Linked DNA regions of Saccharomyces cerevisiae S288C. The gene in region 1 interacts genetically with each later gene. Each region holds a gene or a part of one and is shown in the gene's direction. Other genes may lie near its edges.

Evidence for each region.
Region 2: mutations in VRG4 (region 1) and HLR1 together harm fitness more than expected from each alone (negative genetic interaction), as found in Saccharomyces cerevisiae (one large-scale study listed by BioGRID).
Region 3: mutations in VRG4 (region 1) and RCE1 together harm fitness more than expected from each alone (negative genetic interaction), as found in Saccharomyces cerevisiae (one large-scale study listed by BioGRID).
Region 4: mutations in VRG4 (region 1) and NCP1 together harm fitness less than expected from each alone (positive genetic interaction), as found in Saccharomyces cerevisiae (one large-scale study listed by BioGRID).

The regions. Positions count from the first base shown.
Region 1 is NC_001139.9:75,282-78,409, forward strand, and holds VRG4 (GDP-mannose transporter), read left to right. Parts: upstream 1-1,612; coding exon 1,613-2,626; downstream 2,627-3,128. Other genes in the region: SDT1 (nucleotidase), read right to left, coding at 2,734-3,128. UniProt on the Saccharomyces cerevisiae protein: Involved in the import of GDP-mannose from the cytoplasm into the Golgi lumen. Defective copy causes severe glycosylation defect and abnormal retention of soluble endoplasmic reticulum proteins. Involved in vanadate sensitivity.
Region 2 is NC_001136.10:1,492,888-1,496,372, forward strand, and holds HLR1 (Hlr1p), read left to right. Parts: upstream 1-1,698; coding exon 1,699-2,970; downstream 2,971-3,485. Other genes in the region: QCR7 (ubiquinol--cytochrome-c reductase subunit 7), read right to left, coding at 3,278-3,485.
Region 3 is NC_001145.3:813,836-817,060, reverse strand, and holds RCE1 (CAAX prenyl protease), read left to right. Parts: upstream 1-1,749; coding exon 1,750-2,697; downstream 2,698-3,225. Other genes in the region: ubiquitin-ubiquitin ligase BUL1, read left to right, coding at 1-1,410; ZDS1 (Zds1p), read left to right, coding at 3,081-3,225. UniProt on the Saccharomyces cerevisiae protein: Protease involved in the processing of a variety of prenylated proteins containing the C-terminal CAAX motif, where C is a cysteine modified with an isoprenoid lipid, A is an aliphatic amino acid and X is any C-terminal amino acid.
Region 4 is NC_001140.6:188,580-193,190, forward strand, and holds NCP1 (NADPH--hemoprotein reductase), read left to right. Parts: upstream 1-1,963; coding exon 1,964-4,039; downstream 4,040-4,611. Other genes in the region: BCD1 (Bcd1p), read left to right, coding at 1-445; SRB2 (Srb2p), read right to left, coding at 552-1,170, 1,272-1,285; DOG2 (2-deoxyglucose-6-phosphatase), read right to left, coding at 4,226-4,611. UniProt on the Saccharomyces cerevisiae protein: This enzyme is required for electron transfer from NADP to cytochrome P450 in microsomes. It can also provide electron transfer to heme oxygenase and cytochrome B5. Involved in ergosterol biosynthesis.

The DNA.
Region 1 (3,128 bases):
AGCTCCATCCATGGTTCCAGTTGACGCTATGATACGCAAATTCCTTTGTGATACAGGTATCATTTCTGCAATTCCTCGTAGATTGTTGATCATACCATAAGATTGATGCTGGGGAAAGTGGAGAAGCTAACTTAACGATTGAGGCCTTGGCAAACCCTGTTAAACCAGTACTATCGGCCTTAACATGCGACTTAGAGAGAGAGAGAGAGAGAGATGTTTGCGTTTGCGTCATGATAGAGATGCTACATCCACATAGTTGTTGTAGACATGTTTAAAGGTACAATTCTGCAACAACGCCTTGAAATTTTCCAAAACTAACCAAGCACATTGGAGTTACGCTTATATAGTAAGCCACTTCACTTGCGTTGCTGTAAAGGTTGATAACTACAGGTAGGAATTAATGAATGTTAAATAAAAAAGGGAAATACCATCATCTCGACAAGAAAGGCAAAATAACTTTTCAATCTCACCAAGACGCGCGAACGAAACTCGTGCGTCTATATTAGTATCTTGACGGCGCTTTTACATCATTAAAGGTGTAATAAAACTGAAGTCATGCGATGGCACTGAAATAATCAAAGTAACTATTTGTGATGGCATGCACTGTGATATGATCTCAAGGAAAAAAATGCAATGTCGGGCGCCAATACTTATGATCATGCTTAGTCTCGACATTGACCTTGCTTGCTACAGTAATCTGGTGTCCGAGTAGTGACATCTAGGTACCGGTGAGAACTATATCTTCATTACTACACTTGTCGCCCCTGAATATTATCGCTACACACGCGAAAGAGCTCTTGTTAAAGTTACTCTCGCATCATTGCGGTACATGTTTTGCATATTCATCTGAAGTAGGAAAGGGTATAAGCAGTATATGATGTACCATCTGCATAAGCGGTGTTTAATGCGTACCTATCGTTTAAGAACAAAAGGAACACACCCACACCCGCTCCAATACCATATTGAGAGAATAATGAGGTAACATATGCTTCTATTTGGTTCGATAAGACGGCTACTAGTCCAAAAAAAGTCAAACAACAATTTCAACAGCTACATTCTGAAGATAGAACGCATTTTTGCCTGAATATTGCAACTCAATAGACATTCTAAAGTGCTACGAGAAAAAAGCTTGTAATGGACCATGGCAATGTGCGCCATATATATATGCGGCTCCCTTATGAGTAGAAGAAAATATATGACTGGTGGTACAAAGTGGCATGGTGGTATATAGATGTAGGAACACCATTTGAGTTTGCCATAATGATTAAATTTCCCTTTTTATAAAGAATTAGCCGCCCATAACACGAAAAATATCACAGTTGACGAAAGAAGACACGTCGCCTAAACGCGTAATGAATCGCAATATACGAAAAGCTAAACGGGTTTTTCAGAATCCTCTTACCCAGCCTTGGATAATAGTTTTGGCCGAAAAAAAAAAAAAGAAAGAAAAAAATTGAAATTTCGCGATCCGAACAAACAATGAACAGAAAAACAGAATATATATAACGCTGCCAAGCCTATTTCTTGTTGCCGATTAATTGTTGACATCCTCTTAATTACCAAAAGAGCCTAAGAAAACAAACACACTAACCACACAGTATCTTTCGCCCGAATGTCTGAATTGAAAACAGGTCATGCAGGCCATAACCCTTGGGCTTCAGTTGCCAATTCCGGTCCGATCTCTATTTTATCCTACTGTGGTTCCTCTATTTTAATGACGGTGACTAACAAGTTCGTCGTCAATTTGAAGGATTTCAACATGAACTTTGTCATGCTTTTCGTGCAATCTTTGGTTTGTACTATAACCTTGATTATCCTACGTATACTGGGCTATGCGAAGTTCCGTTCATTAAACAAAACAGACGCCAAGAACTGGTTCCCTATTTCCTTTTTACTGGTCTTGATGATCTACACCTCTTCGAAGGCTTTACAATACTTGGCTGTTCCAATTTACACCATTTTCAAGAATTTGACTATTATCTTGATTGCTTATGGTGAGGTTCTCTTTTTTGGTGGCTCTGTCACCTCCATGGAATTGTCATCATTTTTGTTGATGGTCCTTTCTTCTGTCGTTGCAACTTGGGGTGACCAGCAAGCTGTGGCTGCCAAGGCTGCTTCATTGGCTGAAGGAGCAGCCGGTGCTGTTGCCTCCTTTAACCCAGGTTATTTCTGGATGTTCACCAACTGTATCACTTCTGCATTATTCGTTCTTATAATGAGAAAGAGAATTAAGTTAACTAACTTCAAGGATTTCGACACTATGTTTTACAACAATGTTTTGGCTCTACCTATTCTATTGCTGTTTTCTTTCTGTGTGGAAGATTGGTCTTCAGTTAATTTGACCAATAACTTTTCTAACGATTCGCTAACTGCTATGATCATCAGTGGTGTTGCATCCGTCGGTATTTCTTACTGTTCCGGTTGGTGTGTTCGTGTTACTTCGTCTACTACATATTCGATGGTAGGGGCTTTGAACAAGCTGCCAATTGCCTTGTCTGGTTTGATTTTCTTTGATGCTCCAAGAAACTTCTTATCTATTCTCTCCATTTTTATTGGTTTCCTATCAGGTATTATTTATGCTGTTGCCAAACAAAAGAAGCAACAAGCCCAACCTTTACGTAAATGAGAACTTACGGGGGGTGCAATTTATTTTTTTTTTTTGGTTTATTTTATTTTATAGAGGCATCTAATGCAAGTAGATTTATATACAATTATACTTAAAATTGATATACCTTAGAACAGGTCGGACACAACGTGTGGTAACTCCAATATATCACTAATGACAATAGCGCCTTCTGGTGTTTGCCCCAAAATTTCATTTACTTCATTCTCAACTAAATGAATACATGTTTTCATGCCCAATTTGATACCTGTCTCGATGTTTTTCCCACTGTCATCTATAAAATAAGCATTCTCGTATCTTGCCAACCCGCTTTCCTTCATGGCTTTTTCAAATGCTTTAACATGTGGTTTGCAGACCAGCGTATCTGTCCTAGAGTAGTCACAATATGTCAATCCATCAAATAAATCCGCTATACCCAACAATCTCAGGCAACGTATTGCGTGGTTTTTATAAGCGTTGGTGAAAAGCCACAATTTATCAATCTTTCCCGATTGTCTCAATCTCA
Region 2 (3,485 bases), on another chromosome or scaffold:
GCAAACATTAAGTCACTGATCAACAGAGAACAATGGTTTATCTTTGCACATTGACACATTCATCGAGGGTTTCAAAGCACTTAAAAAGAGCATGATTCAGTTCAAAAAAATGATCCTCGACAAACTTAAGTTGTGCAATTCACATCAGCATATCCATATAAAGCTTATAGTGTGATGATGAGTACTCTCATTAACTAGCTCTGTTATTCAAACTTTAAACTTCGGATACTTGACTGCTCTCTTCGTTTGTAAGTAGCTTGATTGTAGTTACATCGTCGTTCTCATCGCATCTTTTTTTATTAGTTATGAAAAATTTTTCACTTTTCACCTAGTTAGGATACCCGGCTGGATTCTTTTGTACTAACCTCTATGGATTTCGTGGTCCTCTCATGTCACGTCAAAATTTCAGATCATATGTCAGGGTAACATTTATGCACTCGGAGATTGTCAAACTTATTGACGCAAGCATTTACTATTTTTCCGCACAAGCACCATGTGTGATAACATGCAGATCGCCCATCTGAGCAGTAATATCTAGTCATTATATAGTCTATCAAATGTTATACTTCCAGAATTTTTCGCCTCGGCCCAAACATGTACATTTTCTTGGTGGCTTTTTTATTCTGGCTTTCTTTTCCTCTAACGTTCAACATGGTTGAAAATGCTCTCAAGTCAAATAATAAAACACAATCATAAGAATTCAAAGATGTGCATGAGAACTCTTAACAATACATATTTTTACTGAAACACTTTGGTTAGCATCTTGTGATTACTTTATTTATATAACCTAGTCGCCCCTCCCCTGTCTGTACTGTTCTTGCAGGTAAATTCAGGAAATAATACATCCTCCACGACTACAACATGTGCAAGTACTATCCATAATAGGTGTAATCATAGAGAAGCAGTCCTAAGGAAATAAAATCAAAGAAATTAGGTAAAGGTTGGGTATTGATAGATGAAAATGTTTTTGCAAGTTAAAAAGGAAAATATGCACATTCTCTTATAACCAAATTCGTCTGACATCGATATATCTTTTCATATAAAGTTCTTCCCCTTTACCATTCACTCCATGATGTCGTACCTGTTACACTACAGTGCCTGCTTGATTGCGCATTCATAATGGCTGTACACCGTTTACCCAATGCATTCTCGTCTGCAAAGAGAAGGATATACATCTTTTTCTGGTAATAACATGTACCGATTAGGAAATTAAGACCCTGCTTTCACGCGTGCTCCTACCATTTCCGGTAATAAAAGTTCGGGTAAGATTTCTTTTCCAAACGAGCTTACGTGTCGCATCGACAAATATGGCGAGTGCTCTTATATAAGTAGGCAACATCTAAAAAGAATGGACATCTTTTTTTTCAGTGTGAAGACGTTATCGTGTGAGTATTAATAAAGAGTTGTAATTTGATAATAAGATAACCAAGGAGTAAATATATAAAGTTCACCACTGCTCTGTTATCTCTTTTTTATAGAGTTCGGAAATCCTCACAGATTATAACCAACTAATCGTCATTCATTTCAAAAAAAAAAAAAAAGGAAGAATTAGAGCTCTTCCACAATAGTGGCTATTCCAGGCATAATTTCAAATCAAGTGGCAATTTTACGCTCCTCATTCATTTTCCTGTATTATACTTTAATTATTCTTATTTCGCTTTTTTTCTCAAGGTGACCTGTTGTATCACGTTAGCTGAAATGGAAAACTTATGCCCTCCACCTCCTTCCCAAATGAAGGATTTTTCCACTCCTCCAAGAAACAGGCATCGTCACAAAAGATCCTTTGCTATATCTGGAGATTTTGAATTCTTAAAACAACCTGCCTCTGCGCCTGTTTTGCCTTCTGCGTACGACTCACCTACCTTCGAAAATACACCAAGAAGAGTAAGCGGTATGAGCGTAACAATGCCTGATGAATCTCAAAATGAATCAGCATTACTAAACTCACCAAGCCCAAGGTTTTTTATTAGCGAAGCATCCACATATTCATCACCAATTAAAGGAGTGCCGGACGCTATCATTAATTTGGATGATGTGCTCATTAATAAACCAAAAATGTGTAGATCACATCGCAAAACCAAATCAGTACCAGTAAAATTGGACGAATTTTATTCCTCCCATAAATGTAGCTCAGTACCAGAATTAACTATAAATGAAGAAATAGATGAAGATGACACCAACCCTCAGTTGCTGGAGCCCGTAAAACCATTATCATCAACTTCTCTATCTACTGATATGAATGAAGATAAAAAAATGACACTAAAAAATGCCAGGAGCCATAACTCGTTAAAAATTCAGGCACAAAAGCAAAGGTACTACAACTCAGCAAGGTATCTGCCTTTGAATAGTGAGGACCGAGCAACAGATCCACAAATTTTAACGAAGCAAAGCTCTGTTACGTCTTTATTTTCTTCTAGGTCAATTACACCTGTATCTTGTAACATTAACAATGCGGGTAGAATCAATGCAATCAGTGGTAATTATCTAGATGACGTCCTTTATGACCTTGACACCCCTGCCACAACTCTAATTCAGGATATTGATAACCTTCAAACTAGTATCAACGAAAGGGTTAGGTTGTCACCACAATCCTCGTCGATAAAAAAGTATTTTTCCAAAGATGGAAAATCTGTTAGCAGCTTCAATTTCCAGTCTCAGGAGTGCGATATGGTATCTTTTACTGAGGATTTTGCCCATGTAACATCATTGTCTTCTTCTATTCTTGACTCTGAGAAACAAACAGACGACGAAGAAGAAGAGAGTATTCCGGAAGAAATACTACGAGGAGAACCCCTCCACGTATACAACGAAACTAGTGGATCTGATAAAAGTGTCATTTTGCCGACGAAACAAAAATCTGCTCCCATTAACAAGGATAGTAAGCACAGTTCAACTCAGTATGAAGAAAAATCTTTTAAGAAGAATAGAAAGTTCAAAATTTTCGCCAAGTTATTCTGCACTAGGAAATAGTAGAATAAATTTAAGATATATAGACCACTCGATACCCCATCACCTGCATAATTATAGAAAAAATAAATACTAATAGATACCCGATTTATAACACTAGACATTACAATATACGAATTTCATAATAAAATTTTAAGTTCAGACTATAGATAAATAAATAATATGAAGTAAACGTTTCAAGCAAACGCTTATATATATATAGAGAGATAATAAAGGATATGATTTAGTCTCTGTCCCTTCTTTCAAATGAATATTTAATGCCTTTTTTTTTTCGGGTTGTGTGTTCGTGGTGATTTTTTTATTCTTCTTTTCATTTGGAGACCTCTATGTTGTCTAACTCGTCCTTCTCCTTAGCTGCAGCTTCAGCTTCTAATATGTATGGCAACAGGTAAGGAACATCCTCTTGGGCTTTGATCCATTCGTTTCTTGGCAGTAAATGATGAGTCAACTCGGTTTGATGAGCCCTGATTATTCTATATGCTCTGGCATAAGATTCATCTTCAGGGAGTCTTCTTAAA
Region 3 (3,225 bases), on another chromosome or scaffold:
CTAGTGCAGGAAAGGTTGGATGCTCTTAGAAAAATCTTTCAGAGATTAGAGAAAAAAGAACCCATAACGAACCGCGACATTCACGGTGCAGACTTGAGTGGTACCATTGATGATTCTATTGAATCAGACTCCCAAGAAATTTTGCAGAGGAAATTGGACCAACTGCACATTAAGAACAGAAATAACTATTTAGTCAACTATAACGATTTGAAGTTGGGCCACGATTTGGACAATGGCCGCAGTGGAAATAGTGGTCATAATACCGATACTTCCAGAGCTTGGGGTCCCTTTGTTGAAAGTGAACTAAAATATAAACTGAAAAACAAATCCAATTCCTCCTCATTTCTGAACTTCTCTCATTTTTTAAACAGCAGTTCCAGCTCAATGTCCTCTTCCTCAAATGCGGGAAAGAATAATCATGATTTAACGGGAAATAAAGAAAGGACAGGGCTAATACTAGTAAAGGCGAAAATTCCAAAACAGGGCCTACCATATTGGGCTCCCTCATTATTGAGAAAGACCAATGTTTTTGAATCTAAGAGTAAACACGACCAAGAAAATTGGGTGAGATTGTCTGAGTTGATTCCGGAAGACGTAAAAAAACCATTGGAAAAACTTGATTTACAATTGACTTGCATAGAATCCGATAATAGCTTACCTCATGATCCGCCAGAAATTCAATCGATTACCACAGAACTGATATGTATAACTGCTAAATCTGATAATTCTATCCCAATAAAACTCAATTCTGAACTGTTGATGAACAAAGAGAAGCTGACAAGCATCAAAGCTTTGTACGATGATTTCCATTCAAAAATTTGTGAATATGAAACCAAGTTCAACAAGAATTTTCTTGAATTAAATGAGTTATATAATATGAATAGGGGAGACCGTAGGCCAAAGGAACTGAAATTTACAGATTTTATTACTTCACAGCTGTTTAACGATATCGAAAGCATTTGCAACTTGAAAGTTAGTGTTCACAACTTATCCAACATTTTTAAAAAACAGGTCAGTACCCTAAAACAACACTCAAAGCACGCATTATCTGAGGATTCAATATCGCACACAGGTAACGGTAGTTCATCGTCGCCCAGTTCAGCGTCATTAACGCCAGTAACTTCTTCATCCAAGAGTAGTTTATTTTTACCTAGCGGTAGCTCGTCTACTTCCCTGAAATTTACAGACCAGATTGTTCATAAATGGGTTAGGATTGCTCCTTTACAGTACAAACGAGACATTAATGTGAACTTGGAATTTAATAAGGACATTAAGGAAACTTTAATTCCAAGTTTTGAAAGCTGCCTATGTTGTAGGTTTTATTGCGTTCGAGTAATGATTAAATTTGAAAACCATCTTGGCGTAGCGAAGATTGATATCCCTATTTCTGTTAGGCAAGTGACAAAATAAAAAAACATTAGAAAAAATTCTCGTTACTTTTCTTATAGATATAGATATATGTATGGTTTGCTTATAGATGAAGGTATTTATCGCGTCCTTTGTATTCCCTATTATTAATAAAATTCTTTTAAAATGCATTTTCTGGTGCTCTTTTGTTGCTTCTGTATTTTTTTTTTTTTGGACCACTGGATGGAAAACCTTTGATGATTTTATTACCTTTATTTTAAGTTACTAAAATATCGAGATTTCAGGAACAAAACATAGAATTTTCTTTGTCAAGAAAAATAAAACGAAATAAATTGATGCTTTGACTACTGACTGTCTGTCATAGAGAGAACCAGAACAGCAATGCTACAATTCTCAACATTTCTAGTGCTCCTATACATCTCCATATCCTATGTGCTACCGCTATATGCAACTTCACAACCAGAAGGGTCTAAACGAGATAATCCTCGAACGATTAAATCTCGCATGCAAAAACTTACAATTATGCTAATTTCCAACCTTTTTTTGGTGCCTTTTTTACAATCTCAATTATCTAGTACCACTTCACATATAAGTTTCAAGGACGCATTTTTAGGCTTAGGTATTATCCCAGGTTATTACGCTGCATTGCCAAACCCTTGGCAATTCAGCCAGTTCGTGAAAGACTTAACGAAATGTGTTGCGATGTTATTGACCTTATATTGTGGACCCGTTTTAGATTTTGTATTATATCATTTATTAAATCCAAAGAGCTCTATACTTGAAGATTTTTACCATGAATTCCTGAATATTTGGAGTTTCAGGAATTTTATATTTGCACCAATAACTGAGGAAATATTTTACACGTCAATGCTTTTGACTACGTACTTAAACCTAATACCGCATTCGCAACTAAGCTATCAACAGTTATTTTGGCAACCATCGCTTTTTTTTGGACTTGCGCACGCACACCATGCTTATGAGCAATTACAGGAAGGCTCCATGACAACTGTTTCCATTCTGCTGACAACATGCTTCCAAATTTTATACACAACACTTTTTGGAGGGTTAACCAAGTTTGTATTCGTAAGAACAGGCGGGAACCTATGGTGCTGCATAATCCTGCATGCCCTTTGCAATATCATGGGGTTTCCTGGTCCTTCAAGATTGAATTTACATTTCACAGTAGTAGACAAGAAAGCTGGACGCATTTCCAAATTGGTCTCAATCTGGAATAAGTGCTACTTCGCACTGCTGGTCCTTGGATTAATATCCCTGAAGGATACCTTACAAACTCTGGTAGGAACTCCTGGTTATAGAATAACCCTTTAGCCTTTTTTACGTACTTGTATACCGTTTAAAATTTCCTATGTACTATAACCTTTTTTCACTACTATTATGGAATTCTATCGAGCGACCGGGCTTTTGTTACGGAAGAGTGAAAAAATCGAGTTTTGGTGTTTTGGTGAAAGAATTTGGAGGACTATAAAGTACCTATACTTTGTATTACGGACTCAATAACAAGTCGTTCGTGTCAGTGGTATTGAAGTTGTCAGATCTAAGAGTAGAGAGAAGGTGGCATCTAATAGGTTTCGACGTTTTTCTTTTTTTAAGGTTTTTATTTGGTCTCCTAGAATTTAAGGTCTTAGTTAGTTTTGGTTTGTTTTGTGGGTTACATATTTTCAATTCAAAGGAGAATTTAGCTGTCTTTTATAATGTCCAATAGAGATAACGAGAGCATGCTGCGTACTACATCAAGCGATAAGGCGATCGCTAGTCAAAGGGATAAACGGAAGTCTGAAGTTTTGATTGCTGCACAGTCCCTTGACAATGAAATCCGCAGCGTAAAAAACCTAAAAA
Region 4 (4,611 bases), on another chromosome or scaffold:
GGGCGAAGACGGTTCGGAGACCAAAGAGGAAAGAACACAGATCCTACAGAAGAGTGGGCTCAAATTCTACACGAAAACGTTCCCTTACAACACCACGCATATAATGGATTCAAAAAAACTGGTGGAGTTGGCTATACATGAGAAATGCATCGGAGAATTGTTGAAGAACACCACAGTGATCGAGTTTCCCACGATATTCGTTGCCATGACAGAGGCTGACCTACCAGAGGGCTACGAGGTGCTACACCAGGAACCCCGCCCACTTGAGCATACGAGTACACTGAACAAGTTTATTGACAATGCAAGGGAGGAGGAAGACGCTGAAGAGGACTCTCAACCGACAGAAGAACCTGTACAGAAGGAAACACAGGACGCCAGCGACAGCGACAGCGACAGCGACGATGACTACAATCCGGGCTTATCCATGGATTTCCTCACTGCATGAGCCGAGATACATAAGGTTGAAGATTACTATTTAGACTATCTATCTATACGTATACACCGCAATATACAAACAGAAAAAAAAAAAAAGAAAAAGCATTCGTAAGAACTCACAGCTCCAGAGCACGAACATACTGGTACGCCAAATCACATATTTCGTTGCTGGTGTCCGGCCCCAACGAGTCGGATGAGGTTTTGTACTCCTTGGCCCGGATTTCAGCTAGGTGTCCTTCGATGCCTGCAATCTTGGTCTCAAACTCGCCCGCTTCGTCCGCCTGCAGTTCTATCAGGAGACCCTTGAACCCAGTGGAGGAGAAGAGGTTGACGAGTCGCACGGTGAGCCCGTCCAAGATCAACGTCTCACCGGCATCACCCTTGATGAGCTGCCTCTGCATCCAGATGTTGGACAGCTTGGACGACAAAATAGTGTCTATGGACTCAGGAACGCCCGTAGATGAGCCATTGAACACCAGCGCCGGAGGGATATCCGCCGCTGCGGCAGTCGTCACCATCGCTGAGTTGTCCTTGATTAGCACGGTCTGCCGGCCATGGTGGTGGAACGTTATCGAGTACATGAGCTTGGAGACATCCGCGGGTAGGTTCTTGATAGAGCACCGGTACGTCCGAAAGTCTATCGACCAAGGGTCTCGCACGGACAGGATACTATTCGAGAGAGCATCCTTCAGTTCCGTTAGTGTAGCGGGAGTGGCTCTTTCCACGAATATAACGCTATATACATAAAAGAGAGAAAAAAAAAACTGTTGTTAGCAACAGGTAGTTCAATTGAAGAAATTCCGATGCGCCACGAAGGACGCTCCAGCTTTACATACGCTGATTTTCCCATGATGGATTGCTACTGTGCTTTCGAGCGCCGACTTACAAGATTTGCTCTTCCAGTAAAATTTCACTTTGGGAATCACACCGCGAAACTGGCATACTAACGCATAAGAAAACACAAGAAGAGAAACAACGATAAAATCACGCGGCGACATCTACAGTCCACCTGCCCCTTCCTTCGCTCAATTGCACTTTCCCATGCGCACTACCCATCTATATAGCTATGTATTCTATATCCACGCCTGCAAACGCACACTGTTCGTCCTCAGCCTCTATGCGTACGAGCCAGACCCTTGCTCCCAGTAGATAACGCACGCAAAACTCAAAAGATGGCACACCGGGGGAACAAAGGAGAGTAGAGTCTACCGAACGTCACCGCTGGTACCATGCAGCCATCACTACATACTAGCATCATACTACCACGATCACAGTTCACGACACATCACGTGTGTGCTCGTTTAGCGGTCAACCCGCTATTGTTCTCCAGCCAGCTTTTATCGTTTTGCATTTTTTTTTCGGGCTGCTTTTCGTTCTTCGAGGACAAACGCACCTGTAAAGCTCAGCGCGAGGTTATATATATAGTATAATATGGTGAACAATGTAGCTTAAGTTTGCGTTCCTGTAGTGGTCACCGCTACGCTAGACAACGACCGCGGTTTTCAAGTGATCTACTGTCGCACATATCATGCCGTTTGGAATAGACAACACCGACTTCACTGTCCTGGCGGGGCTAGTGCTTGCCGTGCTACTGTACGTAAAGAGAAACTCCATCAAGGAACTGCTGATGTCCGATGACGGAGATATCACAGCTGTCAGCTCGGGCAACAGAGACATTGCTCAGGTGGTGACCGAAAACAACAAGAACTACTTGGTGTTGTATGCGTCGCAGACTGGGACTGCCGAGGATTACGCCAAAAAGTTTTCCAAGGAGCTGGTGGCCAAGTTCAACCTAAACGTGATGTGCGCAGATGTTGAGAACTACGACTTTGAGTCGCTAAACGATGTGCCCGTCATAGTCTCGATTTTTATCTCTACATATGGTGAAGGAGACTTCCCCGACGGGGCGGTCAACTTTGAAGACTTTATTTGTAATGCGGAAGCGGGTGCACTATCGAACCTGAGGTATAATATGTTTGGTCTGGGAAATTCTACTTATGAATTCTTTAATGGTGCCGCCAAGAAGGCCGAGAAGCATCTCTCCGCCGCGGGCGCTATCAGACTAGGCAAGCTCGGTGAAGCTGATGATGGTGCAGGAACTACAGACGAAGATTACATGGCCTGGAAGGACTCCATCCTGGAGGTTTTGAAAGACGAACTGCATTTGGACGAACAGGAAGCCAAGTTCACCTCTCAATTCCAGTACACTGTGTTGAACGAAATCACTGACTCCATGTCGCTTGGTGAACCCTCTGCTCACTATTTGCCCTCGCATCAGTTGAACCGCAACGCAGACGGCATCCAATTGGGTCCCTTCGATTTGTCTCAACCGTATATTGCACCCATCGTGAAATCTCGCGAACTGTTCTCTTCCAATGACCGTAATTGCATCCACTCTGAATTTGACTTGTCCGGCTCTAACATCAAGTACTCCACTGGTGACCATCTTGCTGTTTGGCCTTCCAACCCATTGGAAAAGGTCGAACAGTTCTTATCCATATTCAACCTGGACCCTGAAACCATTTTTGACTTGAAGCCCCTGGATCCCACCGTCAAAGTGCCCTTCCCAACGCCAACTACTATTGGCGCTGCTATTAAACACTATTTGGAAATTACAGGACCTGTCTCCAGACAATTGTTTTCATCTTTGATTCAGTTCGCCCCCAACGCTGACGTCAAGGAAAAATTGACTCTGCTTTCGAAAGACAAGGACCAATTCGCCGTCGAGATAACCTCCAAATATTTCAACATCGCAGATGCTCTGAAATATTTGTCTGATGGCGCCAAATGGGACACCGTACCCATGCAATTCTTGGTCGAATCAGTTCCCCAAATGACTCCTCGTTACTACTCTATCTCTTCCTCTTCTCTGTCTGAAAAGCAAACCGTCCATGTCACCTCCATTGTGGAAAACTTTCCTAACCCAGAATTGCCTGATGCTCCTCCAGTTGTTGGTGTTACGACTAACTTGTTAAGAAACATTCAATTGGCTCAAAACAATGTTAACATTGCCGAAACTAACCTACCTGTTCACTACGATTTAAATGGCCCACGTAAACTTTTCGCCAATTACAAATTGCCCGTCCACGTTCGTCGTTCTAACTTCAGATTGCCTTCCAACCCTTCCACCCCAGTTATCATGATCGGTCCAGGTACCGGTGTTGCCCCATTCCGTGGGTTTATCAGAGAGCGTGTCGCGTTCCTCGAATCACAAAAGAAGGGCGGTAACAACGTTTCGCTAGGTAAGCATATACTGTTTTATGGATCCCGTAACACTGATGATTTCTTGTACCAGGACGAATGGCCAGAATACGCCAAAAAATTGGATGGTTCGTTCGAAATGGTCGTGGCCCATTCCAGGTTGCCAAACACCAAAAAAGTTTATGTTCAAGATAAATTAAAGGATTACGAAGACCAAGTATTTGAAATGATTAACAACGGTGCATTTATCTACGTCTGTGGTGATGCAAAGGGTATGGCCAAGGGTGTGTCAACCGCATTGGTTGGCATCTTATCCCGTGGTAAATCCATTACCACTGATGAAGCAACAGAGCTAATCAAGATGCTCAAGACTTCAGGTAGATACCAAGAAGATGTCTGGTAATCAGCCCACTGATCAAGCCTTCGGCGCGGTTGTTCAACCACACGATCTGTATCAAAGAAAAATAAGTTAGATAACCAAAAAAAAAAAAAATTTCATACTCACTATAAGAAATCATACGCAGTTCAACTTTTGCTTTTACATACAATTTTATCTATATATTCGTGCTTCTGCGATGTCCTTATTTATTTAATCTCTCGTCAAAGGGTTGTTTACCTGGATAACGATACCGTTCTCATTGTTCTTAACCACGGAAACCTGTGTCAAATCACAGACCACATAATCTGCACCTGCGTCAAATAAAACGCTCTTATCATACGAGGATGTTATACCCACAGTAATTGCGCCCATTGCTTTGCCGGCCTTTATGCCCACGGGTGCATCTTCAAAGACAACATACTTCAGATCCTGTTTACCAGTTAATTGCAAATCTTGACGCAATAAATCACGAGCTCTTGAGTAACCCTCGGGATCAGGCTTACCGTTCTTCACGTCAAATCCAGTAATGAAAACTTTGGGCTTTCCAACATTTTTCAATATTGTCTCGAACCATGAAAATGCCAAATATGGAGAAC